Linked DNA regions of Struthio camelus. The protein of the gene in region 2 purifies or fractionates together with the protein of the main gene of each other region. This does not show direct contact. Links are inferred from orthologs where the notes say so. Each region holds a gene or a part of one and is shown on either strand. Other genes may lie near its edges.

Region 1 (7,538 bases), on a different chromosome or scaffold from region 2:
CAGCTAAGTTCAAAAGGAAAACGCTGGAAAAATGGCTGTTTGATTAAAGAAGTGCTGGAAAAACATGTTACAATTCCACTGCTCTGGCTTTTATCTTTGTTCCTCACCTGTTGGTCATGGAGCAACTTAATTATAATTTGGGGAAAAAAACAAACAGCTACATGTGCATTTTTTAGCATCATGGTCACTTACTAAAAGCAGTACTCCTCCTCGTATCACTTACATAAACTCACAATTCTGTTTTAAAGGGATGTTTGAGTCTTGCTTTTATACAAGCGAGAGAGAGAAGATGCAATAAAGAAAAGGAATGGAGCATAATCTGGTGCAGTGTGATTTCGATCCCAAAGCAATATCATCTTTCCCTCTCCCCCGAACATTCATGCCAAAGAAACCTATTTTCTAATGGATTTCTGTCATATATCACAGAACAAATATGCGTTGCAACACTCTGCGCCGCCCGCTGTGTATAGCTCTTGTCTCCCCAAACCTTCCCACTGTTCTTCCAACTCTCTTTATATCTACCAACTACTGACTGCAGGAAGCAGCCAGCGTGGTGGCTGTCTCCAAGCTATACACACACTGATTCACGGGTCAGTGCGCAAGTGCCAACTAACAGCAAAGACAGAACAGAATTGTTCATTGAACGTATGCTGCAGCCTTTCCCTCAGTGTGCATGTTATTTTAAGTCTTTTTTGTTCTTCTCAGCCATTGATTATCACAAGATCTGTAGAAAGGTTATACCTTTGAAACTTTCAGCTGTCTAATCCAGCTGAAACTGGCCAAAAGGTTCAAGAGTTATAAGATACAGAGGAAAAAAAGAAATGGACAGGCAGCAGGCTCACCTAAGTCCCATTTTCACAGGAAACCTATGAAAGAAGATAGGCTGAAGATACACAGTTGGGTCCAAATTAAGGGAATGTTAAGGAATTATTGGAAAAAAAAAAAAGGAACTTCTATGTAGTACCTAATGCTTATGTGAGCATACTGGTGAAAAGGAAAGGAGGAGAAATGAACGTCAGAAGCCAACAGATAGGAGGAACTGGTGCTTCACAGCTCAAAATTAGACCAGAGAAGACAAAAGACATGAGTTCAATGGGCTCTTGGACCACTTGCCATTGATATCTGTAGTGACATTTAGAAGTTCTGAACCTCTATCATCTTAGTTCAATCACCTATAGATGCTTTTTTTTTTTTTTTTTAAGTGAAAACTATGTTTATTTTTCCTGCCTGAACTCAAGGTTAATTAAGAGCTATTTATTGTTTTGGAATTTCTATTCCGCTTTTCACACCGATCTCACTCTACGAAAAATTGATGGCATTAGGCAACACTTAACAGAAAACATCAATGTAAGGGCTTATTCTCAAGGCTTCCAAAGGTTTGTACAAAGTATTAAAGATCAGCATCACTAATGTAACCACAAAGCATAAACACTGCCACCTTGCCTTGAACTGCTTAATTCTCTCACATCTACAAGAAGTTTATCACAGAGAGACTGCAACTGCATGAATCGGAATTGCAATCCTTATCAAAACACGCATGGGAGGAGAAATACCATTGTACAAACATCAGATACGAGGAGTGCCTGCTTTACTAAAGTTTCTCCCATTATTTTTGTACTGCTATTGGAAGTTAATTTAACCACGTAAGTATTCCTTTATGCAGCTACTCTATTAGAAAACAAGTTAGAGAGACAAACAACGCATGCAAGGGGTCCCACTTTCAAGTGTCGGGTGATGCACTTTCTAAAGGGGACGAGATTTGTCTGTTTACACTTGGAGGTTTTTCAGCGTGTTAAAAGTTTCCAGAATTGAAAAGCAATTCCGGTTTCTTCTAAAGACAAGGAAGATAAGAAAAAGATCACGGCCAACGAGAAGAAAATAAACCCAGCCGTAAGTTTCTGAAAGATGAGAGGCAGGACAGGAGAGGAAGTGGCAGCGAAGAAGCCCCCCTGCCCGCTGGCGGGGCAGCAGGCCTGCCCACCCCGCTGGGCAGTTTTACTTTCGATTCCAGGCGGCTCGGAGCCGATATTTTGCTGTCAGATCCGCGGCCGGACCCCTCTCACCGGGGAACGGAGGCCCAAAGACGAGCCGCTCTCAGCGGCCCGCGCCGCCCCCCGGGCGCCGCCGGCGCGCACCAGCTCCTCCACCACCGAGCCACCTCCGCGGCCCTGCCCTGCCCTGCCCGCTCCCGCGGCAGCCTGCGGAAACCGGCCTCGGGCCGCCTCACGGCCCCCCCCGCCGAGGAAGCCGCTACCCCGCGCCGCCTCACGGCCCCCGCCCCCCTCCCCGCGCCGCGGACCCTCTCGCCCAGGGCCGCTGGGCGCCCTGCGCTACCTCCGCCCGGGGCAAACATCGGCGCGGCCTGCCGGTGAGCGCCCGCCGCTCCTCCTCCTCCTCCGCCGCCGCCGCCCCCTCCCCTGGCGCACGAGGACCCCGCGCTCTTCTCGCCTCGCCCCGCCGCGCCGCCCACCCGCCCACAAGGAAGCGCCGCGCCGCCTACCCGCGCCGCCGCCGCCCCCGCCCCGGCCCGCTAGGCCAGCGGCCGTTCCCAGCGGCCGGCGTCAGGCAGCGCGGCGGGCAGCCCCGGGCGGGGTCCTGCAGGCGGGCGGCGGGCAGCCCCGCTCGCGTTACCGGGGCGGCGGAGGCGGAAGTGGCCGAGGGCGGGGCGGGGCCGGCTGGCCGACGGCCCTTCCGCAGCGGCGCCGCCGTGACGTCACCGCCGTGACGTCGCTTTCGGCAGTGCGGGAGGCGGTGCGTTGCGTCACGGCCGCCGTCGCGTCGGGGGCTTCCCTCATCGTTAAGCTCTGACAGCTGCCGTCACCCCCCCCCTTTTTTTTAAACTATTAACACATACGCATTTAAAATTATAAGCATGAGCTCTCAGCGAAAAATCGGCCTCGGGGTCAAAACGGTACCTTGCCCTTAGGATAACGCTGTTTTTAACGCTGTTTTAAAACGATCCTCGCGTGCCTGTTAATGCGGGTTTCTCCCTGAGCCTTGGTCGTTTCGTTGGTATCTCTCGTAAGGAGATGGCGGAGTCCTGGGGAAATGATCCTGCCTGCCTAGGGCACCCGAGCGCGGCGCTTTTACCAGAGCTCTTCCGCCGATACCGCGGTGGAAAAACAGCAATAACGGTGGCATCCTACTCAGTCAAATCACACGGTCAGACGATGTTACGGATGTTCTCTGTTGCGTTTTACGACGTAATACGTATTCCTTCCTACTGTATTTTACGGCATAACACATATCACTTTCTACTGGATGATTAACAGTCGTAGAATAGTGTCTTTGCGAGTACTCGAAGCTCCAAGACGCTCTCAGAACAGCTCTACGTTAATCAGTCAAACACAAACTTCAGACTGGCATATGTTAAGGGCTAACATATAACAATGCTTTTGTTCACAGTTTTGTTCTGATGCCTCCTGGATGATGCACTGCAGGGAGGGGAACCATAAGCAAAAAATTAAGTATACATCAAAGCGTTGAAACGTATGACTGATCTGACCTGATATTAAAATGAGTCAACAAAAATAACTGTCTCATTTCTGTATTCTACTATCCTATTATGAGTTATCAGAACGGACTGAAAAATTCTGGTATCTCCGCTGTGTCTTCCTGCTGTATCAATATTACTGTCTGGATAATATGTATGAAAGCGTTTACAATTGTTAATTTAGTTGCACAGAAACTCCAAATTTACTTGAAAGGCTCGTGATCTGCGAGTCCGGCCATGCTATTGGCTATTATCCCACCCCAAATGAGGCCAAGCTAGAAAATTCCACTCTGCACAATCCAGAATGTAAGAACATGAATCTGGTGTATAGTTCACAGTTACAATCCTGATTCTTATTTCAAGCACGGAGGTTTCTGATATGAGCCTCTGCTTCCTTACGGCAGTGTTTACACCCCTTTAGACTTAGGAGGAGCACACAAAAATATCTGACCGTGACATCAGTCCCAGGCCTGGATGTGCATAATGAAGTTATTCAGCTGTTAAAGCCACCTTTTATTCAAAAGCAAGAGTCAGCCCAAATTTAAGGCTACGTTTAATGTGTAATGATGCAGAGTTTTAGGTATACTCTGCCAATCGTTACAGCACCAGATAGTTTTTTTTTTTCCTTCCAGAAAAGAGCTCTCTTTCCTGTTGTTCCTCCTTCTTCCTTCATTACTCATTTTTGCAGACATTTCTAAAAATGTATTTCTGGAAAAGTTTATTAATGAATATTTGAAAGGATGAAGTCATGCTTGTTATTTATGTAGATCAATCAAGTGTCTTTGCTTCTCAAAGATTTTATGTACTTTCCAAATCATGTTGATTTACCAGGTTGATTGAACTGACTTATGAGAACGGAGAAGAAATCTGTGCTAAACAGAAAGACAACAACAACAAAAAACAGCAACAAAAAAGAGAAATTAAATGGGAAAGATATCCACATGTTATTGCTGGTGCTTCATTTTCCAAATACACCAGGCATATAACTTGTCAACGAATGCCTTTGAGTGAGCTGTTTTGTTCAAGTTCGAGAAGGCAGGCTCAGTGTTATCTTAGGTTTAAATTTCAGTTTCAACGGCGTGACACCAAAGCAATATTGGCTTATTTTCTTGTGAAGAATGACATTGCTGCCTTGTCTAACATGAATAAAATGCACTGTCACTAAAATTTTGAAAGCAAACAATAGCTCCTTCTTTATTCTTTCCAGAGACTATCCCACATTCCCCACCAACCACAGCTATGCTGGAACTGTCTCTTGTAAAGACGGTGCAGGTAAACCGGGCTCAATTTTTGTCTGATAGGACAAAAAGCTTTTCCTTATGAAGTACCTGTTTCATAGGTGCCTACTTACAAGCTGATCCAGTCTTCCTGCTAATCAAAAAGAAAACTAAGTAGAGGTCATTGCTTGAGTCTCAGATATAAAGCACCTTTTTCAATTGTTTAATTCTTGAAGCTCTTCTTGCAATTTTTTCAATGTTTCCTGAATTACTGGTACAAAACATGGACACAATATTTAGCAAGCAATCACATTAACGTCAAACTAGAATCCGTATGTGTACTCAATATTGCCTTGTAGTCAAATCCAGAAAACGATCCTTTTGCCAAATGAGCTGATATTCACATAACTTTTTCAGACCCATCTGTTTTATTCCCGTGACTTTTAGAGATTATATACAGTTACTGCTTCCTGAGAAGGAGCTACATTTTAGTGCACATTCTTTTTTTCCAGGTATACAAGCTTATGTCTGATTCCGTTAAAATAAATCTCATTTGCTTATGTATGAGGTCAGTATGAGATTCAGATCCAAGACAGCCTCTCTTCATCACTTACCTCCAGCTGACAGACTTTGTCAGGACTTACTTTGTGGGAAGGCCTTTCAGGTTGACATGACTACTTGAGTGCCAGCGACCACAACTCCTTTCGAACCCCTTTAGACATACCCCCAGTGGATAATGATTTTCTGTTTAAAATATTACAAGTTTAGATCTGCTGGGTAGACAGTTTTATACTACTTAATGCAGACAGCCTTGTTTTTGAACCATTCCTAGTTTCTTTAGCCAGGGCATCAGGTAGTATTGAATCAGTCCCATACAGCAGTCCCACCAGTCCCTCGGACAGCCTCCCTGGTCTCTGCCAGCACAGCCAGGCCAGGAGAGTCCCCTCGTGGAGCCGAGGCACATGAATACAGAAGCGGTGTTTCTGCTGGCATAAGTACCACTTTCTCACGCTCAGACATGAACCAAAGCCAATGAAGCCACTCTCCTATCGACCTAGATGTAATCACAGCAGGAGTTTGGCCATGTGTAGTTGTATCCCAGGCAAGATGATTACGCTGGCAAAAGTCTGCAAAGTACTACTCATTACTTTAAATCTTTATCTACCGAGCTTTGCCTCTCAGAAACAAAAAGGTTGATTTGATGAGATATTTATTCCATAAATTCATGCTTAGGGTTGATTAAAGCAATAAGTAAACCTGTATATACAAACATTCAATTACTTCCCTGGGATTGACAATCTATTACTAAACCACCTCATTTAGTTCTTTCTAAACATTAGGTAGCATTAGTGCTCTTATTCGGAAGGTGTTTCGTGTTTCAAACCTATTCATATCAGTGTTAATTGAGAAGAGAAAGACTCAGTTAGCTCTCTATCTGCTTTACAGCAAAAACATTGGTATCAGCTAGTCGACAAATATTTGCTTGAGAACGGTGGAAAAGTATTTCATCATGTGTTCTGTCTGCAATATTTGTCTTTTTCCCAAGTGCAGTACAGGAATATTTGATACAAACCTTTTCTGCCTCTTTATCGTCAACTTTGCTGTATCATGCGATGGAGCAACATTATTTTCAAGGTTCCTTTGTTCTCAGTATACATTAAAAAATAATACCTACAGCCACATTTCTACTGTGCTTTACTCGGCTGGCCACATTTCAGCTAACCTTCTATAGCAGTATCCGTTTGCCTTCTTTGCAGCATTAAAGGTCATTCGCTTCTTTTTCCTCCCAAATTGGCTTTTATAGATCTGCATATAAACCCAACCCCATACAGGCCTCAAGGAATACAAACGGCCCATCTCCCAGAACTGTAAATATCATAAAATCCCTGGTCAGCTATGGCACCGTTAAGTAATTCAGTTGCAAAATTCAGTTCCACCTGTCTCAAAACCATATAATCACTGTTTGATTTGAAGAAGAAAAATAGGCTTTTCGAGTTCCCTGTTGTGAAGGCAACCTACAAAGTAACTCTCGCCTGCAGCACCCCTGCCTCCCAGGTCTGCATTCATACAAAGTCTAGATGAAGCTTTTAGATTCTGTTACAACTTGGATTTTCTATCAGTCCCTCTCATCCTGCGCTAAAGTACAGCCCAGAACAGGAACAAGTTTTAGCTCAGAGGAGTCAGAATGAATGAAAAAATAAAAAAGGGGAAGGAAATTACTAGAAGCTGTAAAATAGAACTTAGGCTGCTGGTTTGAGTTTCACGTCCAACCTAACTCCTGGATTTTGTGGTGCGTTTTCCCGAGGCGCCGAGGTGAACACGTCTTCTTCCCAGTTTAAGCACAGCCCAGCGTATGACGGGCGCTTCGGGTGGGTCGAGATTAAACGGTGAGAGATCACGTAGCTGGTTGACCCTGTCGCGGCCTTTTCACAGGGAAGGTCAGGAGAGGAGAACATACTTCTGAAAGGATGAGAGAAACAGCCTGAGCATATACAAAGGAGAAAAGGCGCCTGCAGTACCCGAAGACCTAACACACAATTAATCTGGTCTTTTATTCCTCATTTTGCACTTCACACCGCCTTTCCGCGCTCTCAAGAAGAGCAGCGCTACGGTTAACCCCAAGACCTCGACCACCCTCCCAACCTGCTGCCTCACAAGATCCACCCATGGAAACACCTGCATGTTAGGCCCCGTAACAGGGCCGACACAACGACGCACGGAAAAGTTTCAAGCTTCCCAGCCCTCTCCCACCACCCGGGGTTTCAGACCCCAGGGCAACGCCGGGGAGACGGGGAAGGAAGGCGCGACGGAGCGCGGCGCGGCCTTCG
Region 2 (7,031 bases):
GCAGCGTTTTTCACAGCAAAGTCAGCCAGCTCCGCCAGAACTAACGTTTGTGCTACCAAACGCTCTGGGGCATTCACCTCCCACCTTCCCCGGATCCACAGGTCTCCAGCCCCGGCCAGGGCTCGTGAACATTGTGACATTTCCACCAGCAGCTCAGCCTCATCCCTGCTCTCCCTTGTCTGCCTCAGCAGGGCAAAGGAGCTGCAGCTGAACCCTTCCTCCCATGCGGCTATCCAGAGAAAACCTCATTCTGGCTTAACACGGTCAAAAAGCACAGACCCTCTTACCTTCTCTTTCCTTTTGGGGGTCCTCTTACAAAACACCAATCCACGCTGATGGGCTGCCCCATTAGCTCCTGGCCGTTCAGCCCCTCCATGGCTGCCTGAGCCTCTTTATAGGTTTCGTACTCAACAAGAGTATATCCCTAAGGGTGGGAGGGAGCAAAAGTAAGTGAGATCCCGGGCAGAGGGGAAGCAGGGAGCCCAGCGAGAGGCTGGACGTTTGAGAAACCCCTCCCTGAGCTTGTCTTGCTGTTCAGGCAGCATTGCGGCACCCGACAGTAGCGCTGGGGAAAAGGAAATTGTGTTCGCGTCCCTATGTGCGGCCGCTGAAGCGGCTGAGATGGTTCAAGGCCAGCCCAACCTGCGCATCCCCTCCTACCTTCAGGTAGCCCGTCCGTCTGTCGAGGTTCAGGTGGATGTTTTTTATCTCGCCGTACTCCGCAAACTTGTCGTGAATGTCCTCTTCAGTGGCCTCCTCGTGAACCCCCGTGACAAACAGAATCCAGCCCTCGACCGCTGCAGCGCACCGGGAAAAGCGGCAATCGTTACACCGAACGCAGGGTGCTCTCCCACCTCTGCGGTGCGAACGTGAGACACCTCAGGAAGGGGCCTCCCACGAGAGCCAGCCCCTGGAGTGGCTGGAAATCCCTGGGCGCGTTGTGGCTAAGCACAACACAGAATGAGCCACACACGGGTGGAAAAGGGAGCTGGCGTCCCAGAGAGCAACCTCTTGGCTTAGCCCAAGACAGAGGCCGGAGAGGCAGGGAAAGGCTCAGCCCCAGCAAGGTCTGAATCCTGATACGCAGCCAAGTAACGGCCCCACGTTTCCCCACCATCTCCCCGAAAACAACACATCGTCTCCCTCCTCTAAAGCGCCCGGAGTCAGGGCTGGGACGGGTGCCTCCTGCAGGTACTCACAGCGCTGTGGGCCTGGCTCATCCCCATCTTGTTCCACGCTGTCGTAATCCTCGCGCACCCTGGCCCTCGAGCCTTCCTCTGGACACGCAACAGAAGGGGAGGAAAGAGAGGTGGGTGACCGCTGCCATCGCTCAGGAGTGCAGTAGGACACAGACAACCTTTAAGGACTCCCCGAGAACGCTGAAACAGCCAGGTTTGAAGCCAGCTCCTCTGTACGGGCAGGACAAGGCCACCGGCCTGCGCACGCAGCCCTGAGAAGTCCTCTCCCTTCTGCGGGAGGGAACAGCAAGGCCAGCCAGATTTGGGTTGTGCTTTGGCAAAGCGATCCTGCTCCCAGCAGACGCTACATTCCTGTACAAAGCTCCTGCTCTGATCCCACTCTCCAAACCGCCCTAAACGGGCTCTGAAACGTCACGACACACAAACCACTGATCCAGTGCACCCAGCAGGAGGGATCTGCCTGCCAGGGACCTCGGCCGAGCGATTCCAGGGTGAGCGTTTAGCTGAAATCGGGAAACCGAGGCCTGAGAGGGGAAGGGGCCGAGAACGCTGGAAAGCAGCGGCCAACGCCAGGGTCCCGCGGGCAGGCGCTGCCCGCCGGAGGGCGGGAAGGAGGGTAGAGCCGTACCGCCGCCGCTCACCTGAGCCGAAGCCTCGGCCTTTCCTCTTCTTGGCCTTCTCCTTCAGCTTGTGGATGCTTTCTGTGAAGGAGAGGGGCGGGAGTGAGGAAAGGCACCCGCGATCGGGTCGGAACCGGGGCGGGGAGGGGGGACCCGGGGCCAGGCTGGTTCTGAGCTCCGGGCTGGGCACTGAGACAGGGGACGGGACCCAAACGGGGCCCCGGGCTGCGCTGGTCCCCAGGTCCGGGCTGGGCATCGGTGAGGCGGGACAGGACCCGATCTGGGGCCCTGCGACAGGCTGGTCCCCGAGTCCGGGCTGGGCACCGACATGGGGGAACGGGACCCGAACCGGGGCCGGTGCGGGGGGACCCGACTGAGAGCAGGGCCCGCAGGGAGGGGGCCTAGGACTGGCCGCGGGGCGGGGGGAGCCCACGGGGGAACCTGGCCCTGAACCAGGACCGGACAGGGGACAGGGCCCCGCCGTTACAGGGCCCCCTGAGCAGGCCCGAGGGAAGGAAACAGCGGCCCGGGAGCCGGCCGGACCGGCCGGTGGCACCAGGCAGGTAGGGACCGCCCTGCCCTCACCGTCGCCATCCTCGTCCATGGCGAAGTCCTCGCCGCCCGCCTCATGTAGGTCCAGCACGTCCGCCATCTTGCCGCTCTCCCCGCCGCCACTGCCGCGCTGCACGCCGGGAAGCGGGGCGGAAGCACTACCCAGCCCTGCCGGGCGCCGCCATGTTAGGGAGGACGCGCGGCGGAAGCGCCCGCGGCGCCATCTTGGTGAGGTCGGCGTTTCTTGCCCGGCCGTGGACGCCATGTCGGGAAGGGAGGGGGGGGGGTTGTCGTGCCCCCCCCCCAGCAGGCCCACGCTGGAGGCCGCTTGCCCCGGGGCAAGGCCCGGGGGTGGCGGGGGCGAGCTCCGACGCTGACCCCGCACCCACCTGCTTAAACCGTTCACGGTTCTTTGCAGGGGCAGGTAACATTTCAGGGAGGCGGGGGGCCGCCTGCTTCTCCCCACCGCCTCGCTGCTCAGTACAACGTGAAGCAAAGTTATTTTTTTGGCCTGGTTTCCCAGGGGAAACGGGGCTTCCACCAGCACGCAGCGCGCACATCCGCGCCTCTGGCCGTCCTCCTGCCGGCGGCTTTCGAGCCCCCGGGGGACCTGGCTCCGGCAGACGAAGCTTGGCCGACCTTTGCGAGGAGGAGAGGCTATCCCCGCAGGTACCGGGGAAGGGCTGCGGCCCGAGCTCAGCCCTCCCGAGACCGACTAGCGCCCAAACTGCAGAAAAGAAAGAAAAAGAGGACAAAGAAGAGCTCCTGCTCTGGGGGCAAACGTGCCCTTTGCTGTGCAGTTCCTACAACCCTGGAAAGGCAGCAGAAGGGCAGAGCTGGTGGGACATGGAGGGGACCCCATGGGTGGAAAGGATGAGGTTTAAAAAAAAAAAAAAAAGAGCCTTAAGAGCCTTAAATTGTCCCAAGCCACCAGCTCCCTCCAGCGGGGAAAGCTAAGGCAAGGCTGGCCGGGGAAGCACCTCTTGTGCAGAGCAAAATCAGCTTCCAACAGCGGAGGCCGCTTCTGTCGCCAGCTGCTAAGGCCAGGCCTGCCTGGCTTCCGCCCCAGAGTAACAGACCATAAACCACTTTCACAAGCAGAAGAAAAAGCTGGAATTAAACGAGGACAAACACCGCTTTAGCGAGAAACAGCACGTCGCCCGTGCGCTTCTGGGGTGGAAACTGCAAACGCTTGTTTGTCCCGGTGTACGAACTGCCGCCTAGGAAAGATGCAAATGACAAGTCAGTGGCAGGATTTGCCGTTTCTGCCTTTCAAAACGGGAGAGAAACCACCACAGCTACCCCAAAAATCTATAGCTTTATTGTATAAAATTATACATACAAAATGCAATGATGTACTGAAAGTTATGACATACATGGAAAAAGGCAGGGACGGCACGTGAAAGGTGATTTATCATTTTAGCTTTGGATTTAACCCTATAGCATGAAGAAGGAAGACAACAAGATTTTGGACACTGAAAAAGCCAGGATGTTAATCCTGCTGCTGCTGCCTCGGGTTAGATTGAAGGCCAGTCCCCCTGCCCCCTCCCTCGGGATTTGGGAAAACAACGTTTCGAGAGTATAAAGTTGTAATTGGAACAAAAGAAAACAGTTTTATACACTTGCTGCTATTTAATATAAAACTGCCCAGACGCCTGCCTAGGCTTAGTGTTGTTCTAACCCCCAAAAGAAGGGGGAAGGCAGTGACACCCACCAACTATGCAGGCTTCGTGTATGGGTACGTTCAGATGACAGAGGCTTAGCTGGTTTCGTTCAGTACGAGGCAGGCTCTGCAGCCACAACTACTTAAAACAAGCTCGATGGCTTCCGCAGGAAAGATGGGACAAGTAGCTGAAGTAAGAAAGCCCAGAAAGCTTTCCTCGTCCCTAGGGCAGGGGCGTTATCACCCTGCAAGTAGATCAGGGGACTAAAAACCAGCCTCGGTTTTGCCAAAACAAAAGTACTGGTGTATCAGGTTTTCATTGTACCTTCCCTTCTGCCAGGACGTCCCATTTTGCAGACTTGGGCCTTGACAGTGGAAACAACATAATCCTCCTAGATTCGTTTAAGAACGGCTGCTGGCAGTAGTAAGGCATCTGAAACAGCTTGTGTACAGTTCAGCGCTGCAGGACAGAGGAGAGTTACGGAGACAAGCTTTGCTAAAACCATTAAGATCCCTACATGCAAAACACTCGTAAGCACTGCAAACAGCAGCTCGTGCAACTTCTGCTACACCAAGAGTCCTAACACGTAGGGCACAGACGCTGCTCGGCAAGAACTCCTCCTCCCCAAGGAAGTCTCCAGGGGGAGTTTGATTGTTAAGGTGCTGCTACGTACGTTTAAGTAAAGGAATTTCTAACTGACAGGGCCTTGTACTGCAAAGGAGAAGGCAGTATTAATTCAAACAGGGTGCCTGAAAGCAATCCTAGATCCAAACTCCCTGCTGCACCCAGCTGTAGTCAGGGAGAAGGGGCTGTACGATGTTTCCTCAACGAGCACCAGGATTCTTACGGCAAGACTGCACCAGCTCTGGCCCACTGATCTTTACAGCTCTAAATGACCTTCTTCAACTTGCAAAATCCAAGTGGGCCATAAGGATTCCAAATTAGCCAAGAACTGGATGTCTCACAACTTCTTCATGCCAGGGGGCTTTTCTATTGGGTCACGTTTTCCATCTCATGCTGCTAGAGAGGCGAGAAGTAACTAGGATAAGATGGCAAACCCCGGTCTGTAATGCAGAGGAAAACACTGATGCAGGTCCAAGCAACTTGAAAGCCTGGAGATGTATGGTTGGGTGCCGATGCTGCTTACACCATCTGCTCAAAAAGTGAAGTTTCTTAAGAGTTTCCATATTTGCAAGAGCAGGCTGTTAGATAAATCACCATTTCACATGACGTACTGTAACACTATACACAGGTGTGGAAGTGCTAATAGGAAGATGTTAGACTCCACACTATTTCTAGAGCGGGTGATTAAATCCAAATACAAGGTCCAGATATTACCAACCTGTAAAACAAACAAACAAACAAAAAAAACCCAAACAAAAAAACTCCACACCATTTACAATCACATTTATAAACGCATTAAACATTAATACTGTTGTGTAAAAAGGCTGCATATAAAAAATATATAAAAACAAAATAGGCTTGTTAGGACAAGAATACAAAACTAGAATGCCTACAGATAACGCACTTTTCTTGATCTTCATTTCAAAACAAGACTATTGCTTGAATATCCACGTGCCTCTACGTTCACAGTAAGAGGCTGCTTCAGAGAAAGGAGAGGGTTGAGGGGTGGTCATCTATGGCAATAGCAAAAGCTACCCGTCAGATTCCCAAAGGCTTTGCACCTCTACCCAAAGTATAGTCATGGGGCGGGGGGAGTATAAGGGGGGAAGGACCAGAGAAAGGTCAAAGCTGAATACTGTGTTGAAGAAAGAAGTCTGTCTTCAATTTATAGTCCCACTGAGACATTGCTGACTCTTCTGGGCTATATATTAGAAAAGTAGGAAGCGATACAAGAATTACCTTGAACAAATCACTACTTTCTCGGACTGTGAATTTGAGCTACAGGAACACAAGTGTCAGGAAGAGTATTTTTAATCTAAACATCATACAGATTTAGTACTGATATGTATACAAAGAGCAGGGAACTATTCATTTAAAAAAATAGTGCATATAGAAGTTCTCAACTCAGCAGTGTTTTGTTCCAACACCACTACTGAAAAGAACGGAGCAAGCTCCAAAGCAGGGAGCCTCCAGCTCCAAGAGAAGCACAGCTCTTACACTCGCTTTCTCTCCCATTCTGCTGTGTGAGGCTACGCTATATAAACGCTACAGGCCAGAGGTGCCAAACCTATAGCCCACACCTTCATTTTATACAATCTAGTGATTCCCTTCCTCCCACACCAAGTTCGCAGTGGGTAACATTAAGGTGTGCTCTGTGTGATCTACTGAAGACACCTGCAGAGCTCCTCAGCCCTCTGCTAAGCAGCAGCTCTCTGATCCACCAGTAATCCTAAGAATTGCCCCTGCCAACTATTTCTTGGGAGCTAGGCTGCGGAGAGCGCTGCGTGCTGTAAATTAAGCACAGTCCCTCTTGGCACAAGGGTAAGACCCCTTTACTCTGGCTGGTAGAAGCAATGCAAAGTTGAGGCCAAGCCCCCCCATTTGCGCTTTTGCTGCTGGGGCTGGGTAGAGCCTGTGTTCTGGTTCAAAGGATTAAATACAGTTCTGGTTAACAAAGACTTGTATATACAAGGCTCTTCAGGGAGAGAGGCTGCACAGCTCCCCCCTGTTATTGCTCGCTAAGTCTGAAACTCTGGCAAGGCTCTTAAAATCTTCCTCGAAAAGGCCAAGTCTGACATTCGGTTTGGAAGTTACCCTGGAGAGAACAGCGTGTCCATCTCTTATTTCTTGCACGACTTTCAAAAACCCTCATCTCCCTGGGTTAGCTGGGGAAGCCAAACAACTCCAAGGCTTGATTTCTAGCTGGGTAAACCGGCCATTTCATACCACCACCAACTGCTAGCGCTTGGGACAGCCCTTTAGCATCTCCATCCTCCTAGACTGGGTGAAACACTGTAAGAACCCAAAGAGGACTGAAAAAGAGCATAGCAGGAGAATTTGTCTGGTGCAGACTAATTAACTGCTAGACCAAT
Region 3 (7,337 bases), on a different chromosome or scaffold from region 2:
TTACAAGTCCAGCTCCAGGTCCTGCAGTTCCTCCTCCAAGGCTTTCCTCCGCCCCAGCTTCTCCAGCTGCTCTTTCGTCGGCTGCTTGATCTCCCCGGAGTCGAGCCGCTGCTGCAGCTCCTCCACCTGCCGCAGCTTCTTCTTCAGGTTCTTGATCTTCTTGGTTTTCTCCGAGGCGGAGGCTTCCCCGTCGGCGGGGCCCTTGGCGCCGCAGGCCGGCTGCGGCGCGGCCGCCTGACTGTCCCCCGGGGGGCCCTTGTCCCCGCCGCTGCCTCCCGACAGGGAGGTCTTCTCCAGCGACTGGATCAGTTCATCTGTCTCCCTCTCCCCTTTCTCCTGCTGCTGCTTCCTCTTCTCCTTGCGTTTCAAGTTCCTTTTAGCTGCCTTGGACAGTCCCGTCTCTCCGCTCTCCGCCTTGCCAGGCTGCTTGCTGGGCTGAGCATTGGCCTCCAGGCTCAGCCCGGGCGGCAGGTCAGGTTTGCTTTTGAAAAACTTCACATACTTATTCTCGTACCTGCACAGAACGAGAGCCCATGAAGACGCGTCTCTCCCACACCCCTGCGGCGTCCCCCCGCCGAGCCCCGGGCAGCGCTGCGGGCGGCGGGCCAGGTCTGGCGCGGCGCTGAGGGCCCCGAGGTCAAACTCCCACGTGCTCAGCACCTCTGGCCAAACCTCGGGCACAGAGCGACCCCGATCTACAACTCGCCCCGGGGGATCTCGGGGCTCTGCCCCTTCGCTGCCCAGCGAGCCTCGGCCGAGCGGACCCTTTCAGAGAGGCCGTCACCGCCCCCGAGCGCCTCTCTCCTGCCAACGCCTCTCTGCTCAGGGCCGTGCTCACGTCCAGCCCCGCGCAGCCGCCCCAGACAACGACCGACGTGGAAGCTGATACGTACCGTCAGCTTACCGCTTATGGGATAAGGGTGAGGGGGTCAGGATTGGTCGGGCACCTGGAAAGAGACTGAGACCTCGAGACGTAACCCGGCACGCGCGCGTGGCCTCAGGAATCGCCGGAGACGAGGTCCCGGGGGGCAGGAGACGCCTGGCCTCGGGCTGCCGCGTGCCCAGAGCTGTCAGCGCCTCGTCCGCGAGGAGCAAAGACCCATCTGGGAGCCAACCCTGCCGGCGCGGGAGACCCGGGGGGGCCCGGCCTCATTTCTGGGCCCATCAGCAGAGCAGGGAAACGAGCAGCAGATGCAGGGAGCAAACTGGGAGGCTCTGCTGGGCGCAGGGAAAGGGCTGGGGGCCGTTAAGCGCTGGACGGCCTGGGACGTCAGCCGCGGAGCCCTGCAGGACGCCAGGGCGTCCCCGCCGCCGGACACCCGATGGTGACGCAAGGAACTGCCCGGCCGGGCGCGACCCGAACAGCAAGAGCGACCGGCGGAGGGGGGAAAGACCAACGGACGTCTGACGGACAGCGCCGCTTCCAGCGGCGGCCGGCGAGCGTTGCTGTGGTAACGGAGCACGAAGCGCCTCTCCGCGTCTATCCTTCCTCGACACCGGCGGTCCCGGACTGACCACCACCAAAAATACCTGCCCCGGGCGGCCAAAAGCAAGGTCGTTGCTGCGTTTCAAACCCGGCCAGCAGCTCCTCCTCCTTCTAACAGCGCTCAGACACCCGGCCGGGCCCCCGCGGAGACCCCGGCTCCCTCCCGAGCCCGGAGACGACCGCTGCCGTCGGCGGCGCAGGAGGGAACGCGGCCTGGAGACGGGGCGCTGCCCCCAGGGACGCCCCCTGCCCGCCCCGGCCCCACTTACACCGGCACCTCCTCCTGCGGCACGTATCCCTCCTTCACCCGCCGCTGCTTCCGCCAGGTGCCGTCGGGGCGCTGCGTGGAGGCGATGTACTTCCCTGCGAGGTGAAGGCGCCGTCGGCGAGCGGCCCCCGCCGTACTCCCCCCCCCCCCCCACAGCCCAGAGGTGGTCACGGCACAGCCGGCCCCACAGCCCCTCCTGCCCCACACAGAGCCAGGGGGCAGGGAGGGGAAAGGGGCCCAGGCCCTTGGATACTGGGGGGGGGGGGGGGGACCTGCCCCACAGGGGCTGAGGGGAGGGGACGCAGACGGCACCCCATAGATATCGGGGTGGTGGGGAGAAGATGGGCCAAGCTCTACAGAGTCCAGCTTAGTGTCCGGCTTGAAAGGGGCCTGCCCCACAGAGAGCAGGGTTGGGGGGAATACTGACAGGGCCCCATAGAGACTAGGGTGATGGGGAGAAGATAGGCCCAGCCCTAGAGACGCTGGGGGCCTGGGGGCAGACTGGGTCCCATAGACACCCGGCAGTGGGGTCTGCCCCACAGGGACCAAGGTGTGGGGGAGCCAGCCCCATAGAGAGTGGGGAGAGGGGGGAGCCTGCCCCATAGGGAGAGGGGGGAGGGGGGAGCCCAGCCCCATAGGGAGTGGGGGCGAGGGGGGGAGCCCGCCCCATAGGGAGTGAGGAAGGGGGGAGCCCGCCCCATAGGGAGAGGGGGGAGGGGGGAGCCCAGCCCCATAGGGAGAGGGGGGAGGGGGGAGCCCAGCCCCATAGGGAGAGGGGGGAGCCCAGCCCCATAGGGAGAAGGGGCAAGGGGGGGAGCCTGCCCCATAGGGAACAGGGGGGGAGCCCAGCCCCACAGAGACGCGGGGAGCGAGGCCCAGCCCCACAGAGACGGGGACAGACCGGGCCCCGCGGACCCTGGAGGAGCCGGTGGGGAGGGGGGCAGGGCCTGCCCCACAGCGCCGGGGGGCGCTGCCCCATAGGGAGCGGGGAGGGGAGGGGGCGGGGCTCAGCCCCACAGCGCCGGCGGGGGGGGGGGAGGGCGGGACCGGCTCCCTCCGCCGCGGCGGGGCCGGGGCAGGGGGCGGCGGCGGCTCCGCACTCACCGGTCTCGTCAGTCACATAGGGAGTCGCCATCTTCCGAGCGCGACCCACTTCCGCCCGCCTGGCCCCGCCCCCGGAAGTGGCGACGGCGCGGAGGGAGGGGCCGAAGCCCAGGGGCGCCGGAGCGGGCGGCCATTTTGTTTTTAAAGGGGCCGCGCCCAGTTGGGCCGGACTCGCTGGGCGGGGGGGTTCCCAGCATGCACCGGGGCTCCCACCATGCACTGCGCCCGGGGCGGGGGGGGGGCGCAGGGGCGCAGTCGCCATGGCGACGCGGGGCCCGGCCCGGTGCTTCCGTGCGGCGCCCGGTGCCGGGGAAAGGGGGGGGGACGGGCCGGACCCGCCCGCATCCGCCGCCCCCGCCCGCAACAGCGGCGCCGGGGTGGGGGGGTGGCAGGAGACGACGGGGCCCCAGCCCCCCCCCCCCCCCCCCGCGGCCGCCCGTCGGGCCCGGCCTCAGCCCTCGCCCCGGGCGTGAGCGGGCAAGGCCGGGGGTGGGCGGGGGGGCAGGTCTGAGCGTGCCAGAGCGGCTGCCAGTGTGCCAGGCAAGGGGTGAGCGTGCCAGAGTGGCTGTGAGCGTGCAAGGCAAGGGGTGAGCGTGCCAGGCAAGGCGTGAGCGTGCAAGGCAAGGTGTGAGCGTGCCAGGCAGGGCCTGAGCGTACCAGAGCGGCTGTGAGCGTGCCAGGCAAGGGGTGAGCGTGCCAGAGTGGCTGTGAGTGTGCCAGGCAAGGGGTGAGCGTGCCAGGCAAGGCGTGAGCGTGCCAGGCAAGGTGTGAGCGTGCCAGAGCGGCTGTGAGCGTGCCAGGCAAGGTGTGAGCGTGCCAGAGTGGCTGTGAGCGTGCAAGGCAAGACATGAGTGTGCAAGGCAAGGTGTGAGCGTGCCAGGCAGGGCCTGAGCGTGCCAGGTAAGGTGTGAGCGTACCAGAATGGCTGTGAGCGTGCAAGGCAAGACATGAGTGTGCAAGGCAAGGTGTGAGCGTGCCAGGCTGGGCCAGAGCGTGCCAGAGCGGTTGTGAGCATGCCAGGTAAGGTGTGAGCGTACCAGAGCGGCTGTGAGCATGCAAGGCAAGACATGAGTGTGCAAGGCAAGGTGTGAGCGTGCCAGGCAGGGCCTGAGCGTGCCAGAGCGGCTGTGAGCGTGCAAGGCAAGGTGTGAGCGTACCAGAATGGCTGTGAGTGTGCCAGGCAAGATGTGAGTGTGCCAGGCAAGATGTGAGTGTGCCAGAGTGGCTGTGAGCGTGCAAGGCAAGGTGTGAGCGTACCAGAGTGGCTGTGAGCGTGCAAGGCAAGACGTGAGCATGCCAGGCAAGATGTGAGCGTGCCAGGCTGGGCCAGAGCATGCCAGAGCGGCTGTGAGTGTGCAAGGCAAGGTGTGAGCGTACCAGAGTGGCTGTGAGCGTGCAAGGCAAGGCGTGAGTGTGCCAGAGTGACTGTGAGTGTGCCAGGCAAGGTGTGAGCGTGCCGGGCGGGGCATGAGCATGCCAAAGTGGCTGTGAGTGTGCAAGGCAAGGCATGAGCGCATGAGGCAGGGCACAAGCATCCCAAAGCAAGTGTGAGTGTGCAAGGCAAGGCGTGAGCCTGCGAGGCAGGGCATGAGAGTGCAGGAGTGGCTGCGAGCATGCAATGCATGAGTGTGCCAGGCGAGGTGTGAGTGTGCCAGAGTGGCTGCAAGTGTGCAAGGCAAGGCGTGAGCCTGCGAGGCAGGGCATGAGCGTGCCAGAGCAGCTGTGAGTGTGCAAGGCAAGGCATGAGCACGTCAGGCAGGGCATGAGTGTGCCAGAGCAACTGCAAGGGTGCAAGGCAAGGCGTGAGCCTGTGAGGAAGGGCACGAGTGTGCAAGAGCAGCTGCGAGTGTGCCAGGCAAGGCATGAGTGTGCCAGGTAGGGCACGAGCATGCCAGAGCTGAAGTGAGCGTGCAAGGCAAGTTGTGAGCCTGCGAGGCAGGGCATGAGCGTGCCAGAGTGACTGCGAGCGTGCAAGGCAAGGCGTGAGCGTGCCAGGCAGGACAAGCGTGCAAGGGCAGGCATCAGTGTGCAAAGCAAGGCACGAGCGTGCCAGAGCGGCTGCGAGCGTGCCGGGGCGGCCGCAGCGCGCGCCGGCTGGCAGGGCAGGAGCGCGGCCGCAGGTGAGCGCGCGCGGGCTTGTGCAGGCGAGCGTGCAAGCGCCTAAGTGTGCAAGCGGGTGAGGAAGCACGCTAGCCCCCCCGCCCCGGTACCCCGGGCCGCACGTGTGCCCGGTGCCGCCCCCGCCTGCCGGGCCGTGATGTCAGAGGGCCGGGCCGGGCCGCCGGGAGCGCGCGGACGCCGCGCCGAGCCGAGCCGAGGCAGGTAGGCGGCGGGAGCGGGGGTCCGGGATGCGCGCAGGTTGGCGCCGCGGAGAGCCCGCCGGGGCCGTGCCCACCCGGGCCGGCGCGCCCCGGCTTCCTCGGTCGCTCCCCCTCCCCTCCTCCAGGAAGGGGAAGGAAGCGGCGCTGGCGGCGCCACGACGGGGCGGCCGGGGCCGGGCGGCCGGTGCCCCCGGGGGCCGCGGCGCTCGGCGCTGCACGTCCGGCCGCCCCCCGTCTCGCCCCGCCGGGGCGAGCGGATGCTCTGCCGGCTCCGCCGTCCCCGCTCGGCGCCGTCGCGTCCCGTCCCGGGGCGACCGCGGGACCTCGGTGCGCTGGAGCGGCCCGAAGAGGAGGAAACAACAAGCCCGTGTGCGATGACTCAAAGGAACAAAGGGTTCGGCGGGGCCTCTGCCAGCGAGAGGAAGGCAGAGGAGCGCTGCTCCGCGCCCGCCGCCCGCCCGGCCGCGGCACCCTGCCTGCTCGGGGCTCCGGGACCGCCCCGGCCGCTCGTCGTCTCCCACCGGCTCTTCCCGGAGCCGAGACCCCGCGGGCAGAGCATCCTCCATCCCGGCATCCTCGCTGCGGGCCCGGCGGCAGGGCCGGGGACGGCGCCCGTCGCCCCAGCGGGCAGCCCCCGGCGCTCGCGGGCTTTCGCCGAAGGAGAGGAAGCGAGATGCTCCCCCGGGGAAACAGCTGCAAACCGCTGCGCCGAGGTGGAGCCGGAGCGGGCGGCGGAGCCGGGCGCTGACGTTAACGGGACCGCGGCGCGTGGGCGTCGATGCCCGGCCGGTGGCGGCTGGACCCGGCCCGCTGGGTGGGCTGAGCCGGCCCGTCCCCGGGGGGGGGGGGGGGCTGGGGACGCGCCGGGCCGTGCCGCGAGCCGCAGGCGGGACCCCGGAGCCGCCCGGCGGAGGCGGTGAGTCAGGGCCGCCCGAGGGAACCCAGGTGTCCTGGGACGTCCCTGGGCCTCTGCCCCCGCGTCCCCGCCGCCGGGAGCCGCCCCGGCCTTTCTCACCCCTCCCCGGTGGGGGGGACCCAGGTGTCCTGCCCCCCCCCCGGCAGCCGAGGGACGATGACATCGGGGAGGGGGACCCCAGTGCTGCTCGCAGCCCCGGGGAAGATGGAGCGGCGCAACGGGGGGGTCCCGGCTCGGCCGGTCTGTGCCCCGAAGGGTTAAACCCTCCCGGGATGGAGCCCTTCGGCCTCTGGCTGCAAATATTTACTAAATAAGGGAAGCGTTTGCGGGCGGCGGGCCCCGTTGGGGGGGTCCCGAGGTGCCGGGCGCCCGGGCAATGCGCCCCGGCAGCGGCAGCCCTGTCCCCGGGGCCACCCCGCGGCGCACCGGCCACCTGCGCTCCCTCCCCGCCTGGGGCTCGTGGTCGCGTGTCTCCTTCCCCCCCCCCCGCCCCGGTGCCTCAGTTTCCCTGCTGGGAAGGGGAGGGCCAGGACGGAGGCGTCGGGTCCCCGGCCGGCGCGCGGCCGAGCAGGGAGCCGCAGGCGGCCGCCGCCGGGCACGGGACGTCCCGCGCGCCCAGGGTCGGCCACCACCGGGGCACCCCGGGGTGGCTGCGCCGCCCCTCGCGGGCCAGCGGTCCCGGGCCACGTCCGCAGGCCGCTCGCCGGCTGGCGCGCCGCACCCCGCCGGGGTCAAAGCTCGGCCTGCGCCGGGCGGCTCAGCCCCGGGGCCGGGCCGCGCAAGTGTGGGGCCGGCCGGCGTCCGTGGGGCAGCTACGCCTCGGGGGGGGGCGAGGGGACGCCGGCGGGCCGCGCGGGAGCTGGAGGGGCGCGAGCTGCTTCCGCGCGCCTCCGGGCACCCGCGCGTGTCGGCCTGTCCCGCGCGCCCGGCGTCGCTGCCTTCGCGGCGCGGACCCCGCGCGGGGCTGGGGGCGGCCGCCGGCACGTGCCCCGGCCCGCCGCCTCGCCGTCCCCGAGCGTCGCGGCTGGGTGGAGCGCCCGGCGCCTGGAGCCCGCCGTCGCCATGAACAAATAATAGCGCCGGAGGGCGGGGAAGGGCCCGCGGGGCCGCCGGGGCTGCGCCTCCGCGGGGGGAACCGAGGCCGGGGCGGCGGGGCGCCGCTCTCGCCCCCCCTGCGCCCTGCCGGCGCGCGCCGAGCATCCCGAGCGCGGCCGGGCGCCAAGTCCCACCCTCCTCCCCGGC
Region 4 (7,938 bases), on a different chromosome or scaffold from region 2:
TTTAAGTGGCTCAGAAGAAATGTGTTCCATTTCAATAAAGGCTAAAAGAAACATGAGAATTTTGAACAAAATTACGCCCTATTCACAGAACAACAATTTTCTGTTTTAAAATCAGCAGTGTAAAAGGAAAGGGCAGGAATGCCCTTGTCTCTACATATGCATCTCTGTTCTCAAAAACATTTTGAATAACTACTAACACCAACAAAAAGTAAGGGCTCCAGGGACAAAATATGCAACTTGGTACATGACTATATCCAAAATACTTTAATTGGGTTTTAAGTACCTGAAAACTCGTACAAACATTTTCTTTTCTACTTAGTACTGACCAACAGCATATCCTCACCTGGGATCAGCAGTGCAAAACTCAAAATAATCATGGGCAGGTAGAGGATGTAGCTGTTCCTCTAGTTGCTCCTTAGTTAGACAAGGAGGAAGCCGGCGAATAACTACCTGCGCATATAAAACAAAATGGACAAATATCTTTGATCTAAATACTGTGGGAAGAGACTAAATATCACGTACTATTATTCTTTAAAATTGGGAGTTTAAATTGGAACACTAGCCTCCTAGTGACTTACTTTCTTATACTTGCTGGCAGAAGGAATAATTGACCTATCTCACTTTCTGCTACATAAAACGTATAGAACAACAGACTAACACCGTAAAATTGCAGCATAAGTGAAACATTCTGATGAAGAGCTTAAAAGTCACTGTAATTTGGCTGAGAACACAAAATATTAACAAATGGGAAAAAAAATAAATATTGACCACACAAAATACTTGCATTCTCTCTTTACAAAATGATTTTGTTTAAACTGACTTTTAAGTCTTTTATTACAAAAGCATTTTATGTACATCGTCCAAAGTCTTCACTCCAGAATAAAGTGTCTGAGACTGCATGAAAACTCTCATGACAGTATAGAAAAGAGTGAAATGGTCATCAAGATTCAGATAACGTACTTCTATTTCTCAGTAATATCTGAACTTGACTTAACTTTAAGTCATGGTGACCTTCAGTGCTTTCCTTTCCCCATTTAGAAAAAGGGAATAAAACAAATCTCACAGTACTCTATATAAGTATTCTCTGAAAGATGCTCAAATAAAACCATGGAGAGAGAAGTGCTCTTGTTCTTTTAAGACCTGCTCTGCCACTATATTAGTCAATCTAAATTTTTAAAGAACGAAAGATGAAAAGACAGGCAAATTTGCAGCACTCTTGCTGAGGTCCTCAAAATACTTAAGAAAGTGAACACTCATTTTGCTGATGATGAAACAAAGACGATGTTTAAATGCTGTATTTCCTTGGAATTAGCCTCAGTGTTTAGAATAGAAGCTATGGGCCTTTCTGGGCCATGCTCTTCATTACAAATTTCCTCTGATCCTTGGACATCGCCCAACGCTTCTTAGTAAGTCTTCCCATGTTCCCTGCCCTTGCCTTCCTCTGCACTTCTCCATCTCACCTTACCTGCAAATACTTCTGTCTGCTCACCTGCCCCAGGGGTTGTTCCAGTTGGCTCAATCATGCCCATCCCCCTTTGCCCCTCTATTCCCGTCCCCAGACCCCTTCCCAAACAACCCTTACTCCCGCACTTACTCCTCAGCCCCTCTATGTACCTCTTCTGTGCCTCTCCTGATGCCCCCTGCTCAGTGATCAATCCCAAGGCACGCCACTCCCTGCACACCTATCCCCCAGGCTCACCTCCCCCCAGCTCCTAGGCACACTCCCAAGCCCCAGCCTTGCCCCCAGCCACACCCCCAGGCATGCCCCCCCAGCTTGTCTCCAGGCCCCAGGTTGGCCTCCCAGGCATACCCTCAGCCCCAGATTCACCCCCCGACACATCCCCAGCCCCACAGCACATCCCCCAGGCATATCCCCAGCCCCACAGCACATCCCCCAGGCATATCCCCAGCCCCCAGACTTCTCTCCCAGCCCCACAGCACAACCCCCCAGGCACATCCCCAGCCTCACAGCACATCCCCCAGCCCCAGAGCACAACTCCCCAGCTACATTCCTAGCCTCAAGGCTCACCCCAAGCCCCACAGCACAACCCCCCAGCCACATCCCCAGGCACACCCCAAGCCCCATAGCACACCCCCCCGGCACATCCCCAGCCCCCAGGCTCACCCCAAGCCCCATAGCACACCCCCCCGGCACATCCCCAGCCCCCAGGCTCGCTCCCAGCCCCATAGCACACCCCCCCCCCGTCACAACCCCAGCCCCCAGGCTCGCTCCCAGCCCCATAGCACACCCCCCTCCGTCACATCCCCAGCCCCCAGGCTCGCTCCCAGCCCCATAGCACACCCCCCTCCGGCACATCCCCAGCCCCCAGGCTGGCTCCCAGCCCCATAGCACACCCCCCTCCGGCACATCCCCAGCCTTGCCCCCAAGGCACACCCTCAGGCCCATAGCACACCCCCCGGGCGTATCCCCAGGCCCCCAGGCACACGCTCAGCCCCACAGCACACCCTCCCGGCACATCCCCAGCCCCCAGGCTCGCTCTCAGCCCCATAGCACACCCGCCCCGTCACATCCCCAGCCCCCAGGTTTGCCCCCAAGGCACGCCCCCAGCCCCATAGCACACCCCCCGGGCATATCCCCAGGCCCCCAGGCACACTCTCAGCCCCGAGACTCACCCTCAGGCACGCCCCCAGCCCCCCGGCTCAGCCCTAGGCTCACCCCCAGGCACAGCACAGCCCCCGGGCTCGCCCCGCGGCCCCCGCGCGGCCCCTCACTTTGCTCAGCGCCGTTTTTTTCTCCTCTCGCTGTTTACCCGGCGCCGGGTGAAGAGGCGGCGGCGGTGGCGGGGGAAGCGGCGGCGGCCCCGGCGGGGGAGGAGGCGTTGGCGGAGCCTCCGGCTCGCGGCGCGGCGACTCTCGTCTCAGCGGGACCTCCATGGGCCACTTCTCCCGGCCACAGCCGCCGCCGCCGCCGCCGCCGCCACCTCGAACTGGTCCCGGCCCAGCCTCCCGCTCGGACCTCATGGAACAACCGCCGCCGCCGCAGCCAGGCGCAAAGCTCGCGAGAACTGGCCGCTCGCCGGGTGGAATCTCGCGAGACTTCACTGAGGGGGCGGAGCGGGCTGCCCCAGAACCCCGCCCGAGCACCTCAACGGTCACCGCTGCGGGGGGGGGGGGGGGGGGGCGGGGACGGGCAGCGCCATCTCCGTCCTCATCCTCTCCATCCCCGTCCTCGTCCGCATCCTCACCCTCATCGTCATCCCCCTCCTCCTTGGCATGGGTACTTTCAGGAGCCCCCACACAAGTCCCACTTATGCCTGTGGGAAGGAGATGAGAAAGAAACTTGTCCCCTTCCCTGGCCGGGGCGCGAACCTCGCCGCCCTGGCTGCTGAGACTTGGCTGCCGGCCTCTGTCTGCCCCGGCCTCGCCTCTCCGTTGCGCAGCGGGATGGCGTACGTGCAATCCACCTCGGGGCTGGGGCCTGCTGAGGCTCAGGACACAGGGCTGGAAATCCAGGCAGGTCCTAGGGATGAAACGAGGCCGTTAGGTCAGGTCACGAGTCCTGTGCCCAAGGAGAGTTTCTGTCAATTTAGGGAAGCGCTGGCTACAGTCAGGCAACATGTCATTAGCACCCACCTCTCAGGCCATGCGGCAGGCTCCGGAGTCGTTCTGGTTGACATTTCAGCGCCCTTCTGACGAGCTCCCAGGATTTCACCTAGTGCTTTAGCTCCCACAGACAGTCACATCAGCATCATTCCCAATACATTTTCTCAAGCATTGGTGGATATTTGGCATTTGATTTATCCTATCAAATAATAAGAAGACATCAAATAAGAACATAAAAATGTTTATACTGATTCAGACAATGCCACCATCCTATCTCTGCCCATGGCAAAGTCACTGGGGAAGTCACCAATAATGAGTAGAATAAGGATAAGAACAAGTAGAATATATATTAATTTATCTTCAGACTAATCTTTCACCTGCAAGGTGTCCCTGAACTGAGACCACAAAGTGAAATAGATCTTCCATGTAGCTAGTCTAGAAGTAGTGACCCATCCATCAGATCAAGGATTACTCAGTCCTGGATTGCAATAGTGCAATTTTATGATTTCTAGTTCTAAAAAGTTTCTGGAAACTCCTGGATGATTTGGGATGTCCTAGACTACTTCTCCTAGGCTTAGTGACAGAGACACAGAAACTGAAGAATGGCTGTGGGTCATACATAGGTCATAGGCATACCACTAGACTCCTCTAAAGCAACAGAAAACAGACAGAATAAGCAAAAATGCCTACAATTTATGCAGAATACACAGGGTCAACACTGATCTTCCGATGCCGATGCTGCATTGTCAGTCCTCAAATAGATGTCCACAACATGACAACAACAAATAGTAGCTGATTTGATGTGGAATAACTCAGTACTGAAGCTGCTGAAAACAGAATCATAATTCCATCTTAACCTCCTTCTGTGTCTACTACCAGTGGCTATAGTTCATCGTCATAATTGGAAATCAGGTGACGGCTTTTCCTGGAGGACATTTTCTGATGTTTGCTGAAGTCTGATTTGTCAACACTGGTCTGTCAGGCTTCATGAATAAGAAACCTGACCACACTATCCCTAGGATGGGATATTCCAATCATCCCATTAGCCTCACCTTTGATCCTAAGAGGCAATTTTCAGCTCTAAAGATAAAAGCAGGTGGGATTGGCCAAGCAAACTCTAATGTGTTATTCCTCTTCAAATCTTTTAGCCTATAGTAGCTGGGAAGAGCATGGGAGTCAATTAGGACCATCCACAGAAATCTCTTGTGGGTTTTCAAGACCTAGTCTGACAAGCTTGCAGGCAACAGCCAGGTCTCCCCCCACCCCCACCTCAAACTGGGACAAAACTGATCCTTGCAGGAGAGAGATTAGGTTATGAAACAGAGAGAGGATGTCTCTTGTGGGGACATGTTGACAGTCTCCTCAACCTGACCACGACCTGGACCTTGTACCCACTTGCCAAAGCTAACTAAGGCAATGACCAAAAGCAAGAGTCAAAAGAACCTGAGGGCAAGTGAGGCCAGAAATAGTAATCAAAGACCTCATGAGGACAAGGAAAATACCCAGTTTGACTAGAGGCGGGTTGAAAATCAGAATAACAGAATAACCCAGAAAGACAATAAGCGCTATCTAGTACGTAGAGTCCAGGCAAGGGCAGGACAGGTGCTGGGAAGTGCAGAACACTAGAGCATAGCTGGAGCTGCAGGTACGGAAATGACAGTTGGATAAAACAAGAGCAGATCAACATACTGAACAGAAGATAGATGAGGGGATGCCCTCATGTGTGCACAAAAGACATGCATCATCAGTCATCTCGCAAGCTCTAACCTAACTGTAGTTGCCTAACAGGCTGGGAGGCAGGACAAGTCATACCAATAATTCCTCTGATGTTGTCCAGGAAAAATCATTGACAATCTAGGACACTTTGCATACATCTATTTCTAGGTAACTTTTAATGCCAACAAATGCAAGCCAGCAACAGCCAGCCAAAATACTTCAGCAGAAATCTGCGACAGCACAGTGTAATAATACGTTGTCTTTCCAGCAATACCCATTTAAGGTATTTCACCTATTCCTTCCCACTCCTACCACTCTTCCCCACTGAAAATGCTAAAACAGTTGTTTGCTATCTTTGAACCTGAGAACTGAGAAGAAAAGATTTTTAAATCAAATCAAGTTCCCTGATTTGATTCATAACATAACCTCACAAACACTTGAATTACCACAGCTGAGGTAGTGGCACAGGGAAAAGTAGATTCTTATGGGCAGGGCAGGAATACTATAAAGCAGTGTTGTCATCAGAGCCAATGTATCATCAAATCATGACTGGAGAGTACAAGAAAAAATATGAAATTTTACCAGTGTTTTAAATTATTTTGTCAATGGTAATAAAAACACCATGGGAACAAGTAAACAACATGAGTCCTGCACCCATGCCTGACATAAGACAAAAGGCCTCATTTGCTAGAAGACTTTTTAGGCAACTTGGGTATGGAAATAGCTTGTCACGATAACCTAGAAAACTAGATTTACCCAAATTAGTGTTAAAAAAGAGAGAATCTTCTAGAGAAAAAAAACAGTTCAGTTCTCTGAGAAACGGTTGGTGATAGTCTTCAGGCTGCTCTGTATGCAGCAACAAGCCTTTGCCATCTCTTTATCCACAACGTGATCTTGGTTACAAGCATTCAGTATACGTGAGCCAGAAGATAACAACAAACTACTGAAAGATCCTGTAAAGGATGAGACTTAATACAATGGCTGTTGAGGCACACTTTCAGAGTTTTAGCTAATCTTCCCAAGAAAAACTTCCAGTTTACCTTGCATATGAGAAGCCATCTGAACTACACGTAAACTATCAGATACCAAAAGAAAGCTCTTCATGAGCTTTTTATCTAGCTACATTGAAGGAATCAGACTGGACACCGGCCAGAAAACACAGACACTTCCTGAATGAGTCTCTTCCCCCACACCCTGTGCAGGTATATCTTTTCACTTTGCCTCCTGGGGAGTGTAGGACATATCCCTTCTTTTTCAGAGAATCCTGCAATTTCGGATGAAGTGTTTTTGAACCAGAAAGTAAACCATTTTCATTCTCCTTACTTGTTAATGTCTAAAGAAATATGAAGTTAGTATCGAATTCTGTGCTGGACTCAAATACTTCAATCCATAACACAGAACTGTTACTCTAGCATGTTAAACTCCCTCTGGGGCGTCACAGACCAATTCACGGTACCACTGAGACAGAACCAGGCAGTGCTAGTGCTATGTTGGCACAGGAAAACAAGGGGATCTTATGGGACCAGATAGATTTCATTCGAGTATCAGTTCTGAGAGTTCGTGGAATTTTGGCCAAAACACAAACTCTTTCCCTAAATCTTCCTCATCCAGTAGCCTTGAGTTTTAAAATGCAAGTGTATAGAGAACGTATAGTCATGTTCCATAACGCAGGGACATGAGGGAAGCAGCCACCATCCTGGACTCAAATGATGTATGCAGCCTATATTGATGCAAAGAGGTCTCCCTGACCCAGATGAGGATTCATAAGACACCAGGAAAAGAGTTGAAGAACCAAGATGTAACCAGGCACAGCCAACAGTCTAGCTGAGTAGAGCAGCAGCAGCCAGCAAGTAAAGTAAAGAAAATTAGTATTTGTGTCCTCACTAGTGACTCATCTCAGCTAATGGGGGTGCTAGGATAAACAAAGGAACACAGACCTTCCCACCTCACTGCTTCGTCCATGAAAGGGTCTCTAGCAACAGCATAGTCCTTAGGATACAGAATCTGACTATTGAAAACTGAGTGAGTCATAAGACAGATGTAATTGGACAATAAGAGGCAGCTTATATTCCAGTTCATGCAGCGCCATATCTATCAAAAAAAAAAAAAAAAAAACCACACACACCCAGAAGAGATCACAAGATCACAGTAACAACCAGTGATGCAATATTCAATTATTAACAAAATTTGAAGTAAGTTCAACATTGCCTGTTTAAAGTCTGCACTAAGAGAACTGTTAGTGAAGAAAAATGCGCTGCTGGAGGGAGAAAGAATGACAGCAAAAATTCAATATAAGTACTTGGATTCATCATTCATCTTCCATCTCTTATTCATGTAAAGCACCAAAAGAAAAAAAAAAAGTGAAAAGTGTATAGCAAATATTTAATGAGTTGCACCACTAGTCATCAGTCTGTGTTAGTTTCTTTTATAGCTTGCTCCCATAAAGTGGATGAAAATTATTACAAGATAACAGAATATGTAAATATTGTTTTAAGAGTATCATCAAAAATAAATCTTTAAATCTTAATACAAGTGTACAAGTTACATTTTAGACCTATTACTTGATTTTAATGACTAAAACATGAATTAGCCATTTTCATTTTTGATGAAAAATCTCTGGGCACAGAAAACGTGCTGGTTCTCAAGATCTGAAGTACT

What was found.
Region 1: the proteins of RBM8A (region 2) and UPF2 purify together in Homo sapiens (co-immunoprecipitation; 6 studies listed by BioGRID and IntAct, with this or other methods). This does not show direct contact. The link is inferred for Struthio camelus from reciprocal best matches to the Homo sapiens genes RBM8A and UPF2.
Region 3: the proteins of RBM8A (region 2) and PYM1 purify together in Homo sapiens (co-immunoprecipitation; 11 studies listed by BioGRID and IntAct, counting the BioPlex papers as one, with this or other methods). This does not show direct contact. The link is inferred for Struthio camelus from reciprocal best matches to the Homo sapiens genes RBM8A and PYM1.
Region 4: the proteins of RBM8A (region 2) and UPF3A purify together in Homo sapiens (co-immunoprecipitation; 4 studies listed by BioGRID and IntAct, with this or other methods). This does not show direct contact. The link is inferred for Struthio camelus from reciprocal best matches to the Homo sapiens genes RBM8A and UPF3A.

What each region holds. Positions count from the first base shown.
Region 1 is NC_090942.1:7,366,220-7,373,757, forward strand, and holds the start of UPF2 (regulator of nonsense transcripts 2), read right to left. Parts: upstream 3,016-7,538; 5' UTR 2,916-3,015; intron 2,630-2,915; exon of another isoform or gene 2,501-2,629; intron 2,484-2,500; exon of another isoform or gene 2,335-2,483; intron 1-2,334. UniProt on the Homo sapiens protein: Involved in nonsense-mediated decay (NMD) of mRNAs containing premature stop codons by associating with the nuclear exon junction complex (EJC).
Region 2 is NC_090971.1:3,081,934-3,088,964, forward strand, and holds the start of RBM8A (RNA-binding protein 8A), read right to left. Parts: upstream 3,017-7,031; 5' UTR 2,637-3,016; coding exon 2,405-2,636; intron 1,901-2,404; coding exon 1,841-1,900; intron 1,278-1,840; coding exon 1,200-1,277; intron 798-1,199; coding exon 661-797; intron 425-660; coding exon 288-424; intron 1-287.
Region 3 is NC_090969.1:707,142-714,478, reverse strand, and holds the start of PYM1 (partner of Y14 and mago), read right to left. Parts: upstream 3,015-7,337; 5' UTR 2,890-3,014; coding exon 2,859-2,889; intron 1,850-2,858; coding exon 1,756-1,849; intron 515-1,755; coding exon 1-514. Other genes in the region: DGKA (diacylglycerol kinase alpha), read left to right, coding at 5,116-5,180. UniProt on the Homo sapiens protein: Key regulator of the exon junction complex (EJC), a multiprotein complex that associates immediately upstream of the exon-exon junction on mRNAs and serves as a positional landmark for the intron exon structure of genes and directs post-transcriptional processes in the cytoplasm such as mRNA export, nonsense-mediated mRNA decay (NMD) or translation.
Region 4 is NC_090942.1:156,043,439-156,051,376, forward strand, and holds the start of UPF3A (regulator of nonsense transcripts 3A), read right to left. Parts: upstream 3,012-7,938; 5' UTR 2,983-3,011; coding exon 2,734-2,982; intron 451-2,733; coding exon 344-450; intron 1-343. UniProt on the Homo sapiens protein: Involved in nonsense-mediated decay (NMD) of mRNAs containing premature stop codons by associating with the nuclear exon junction complex (EJC) and serving as link between the EJC core and NMD machinery.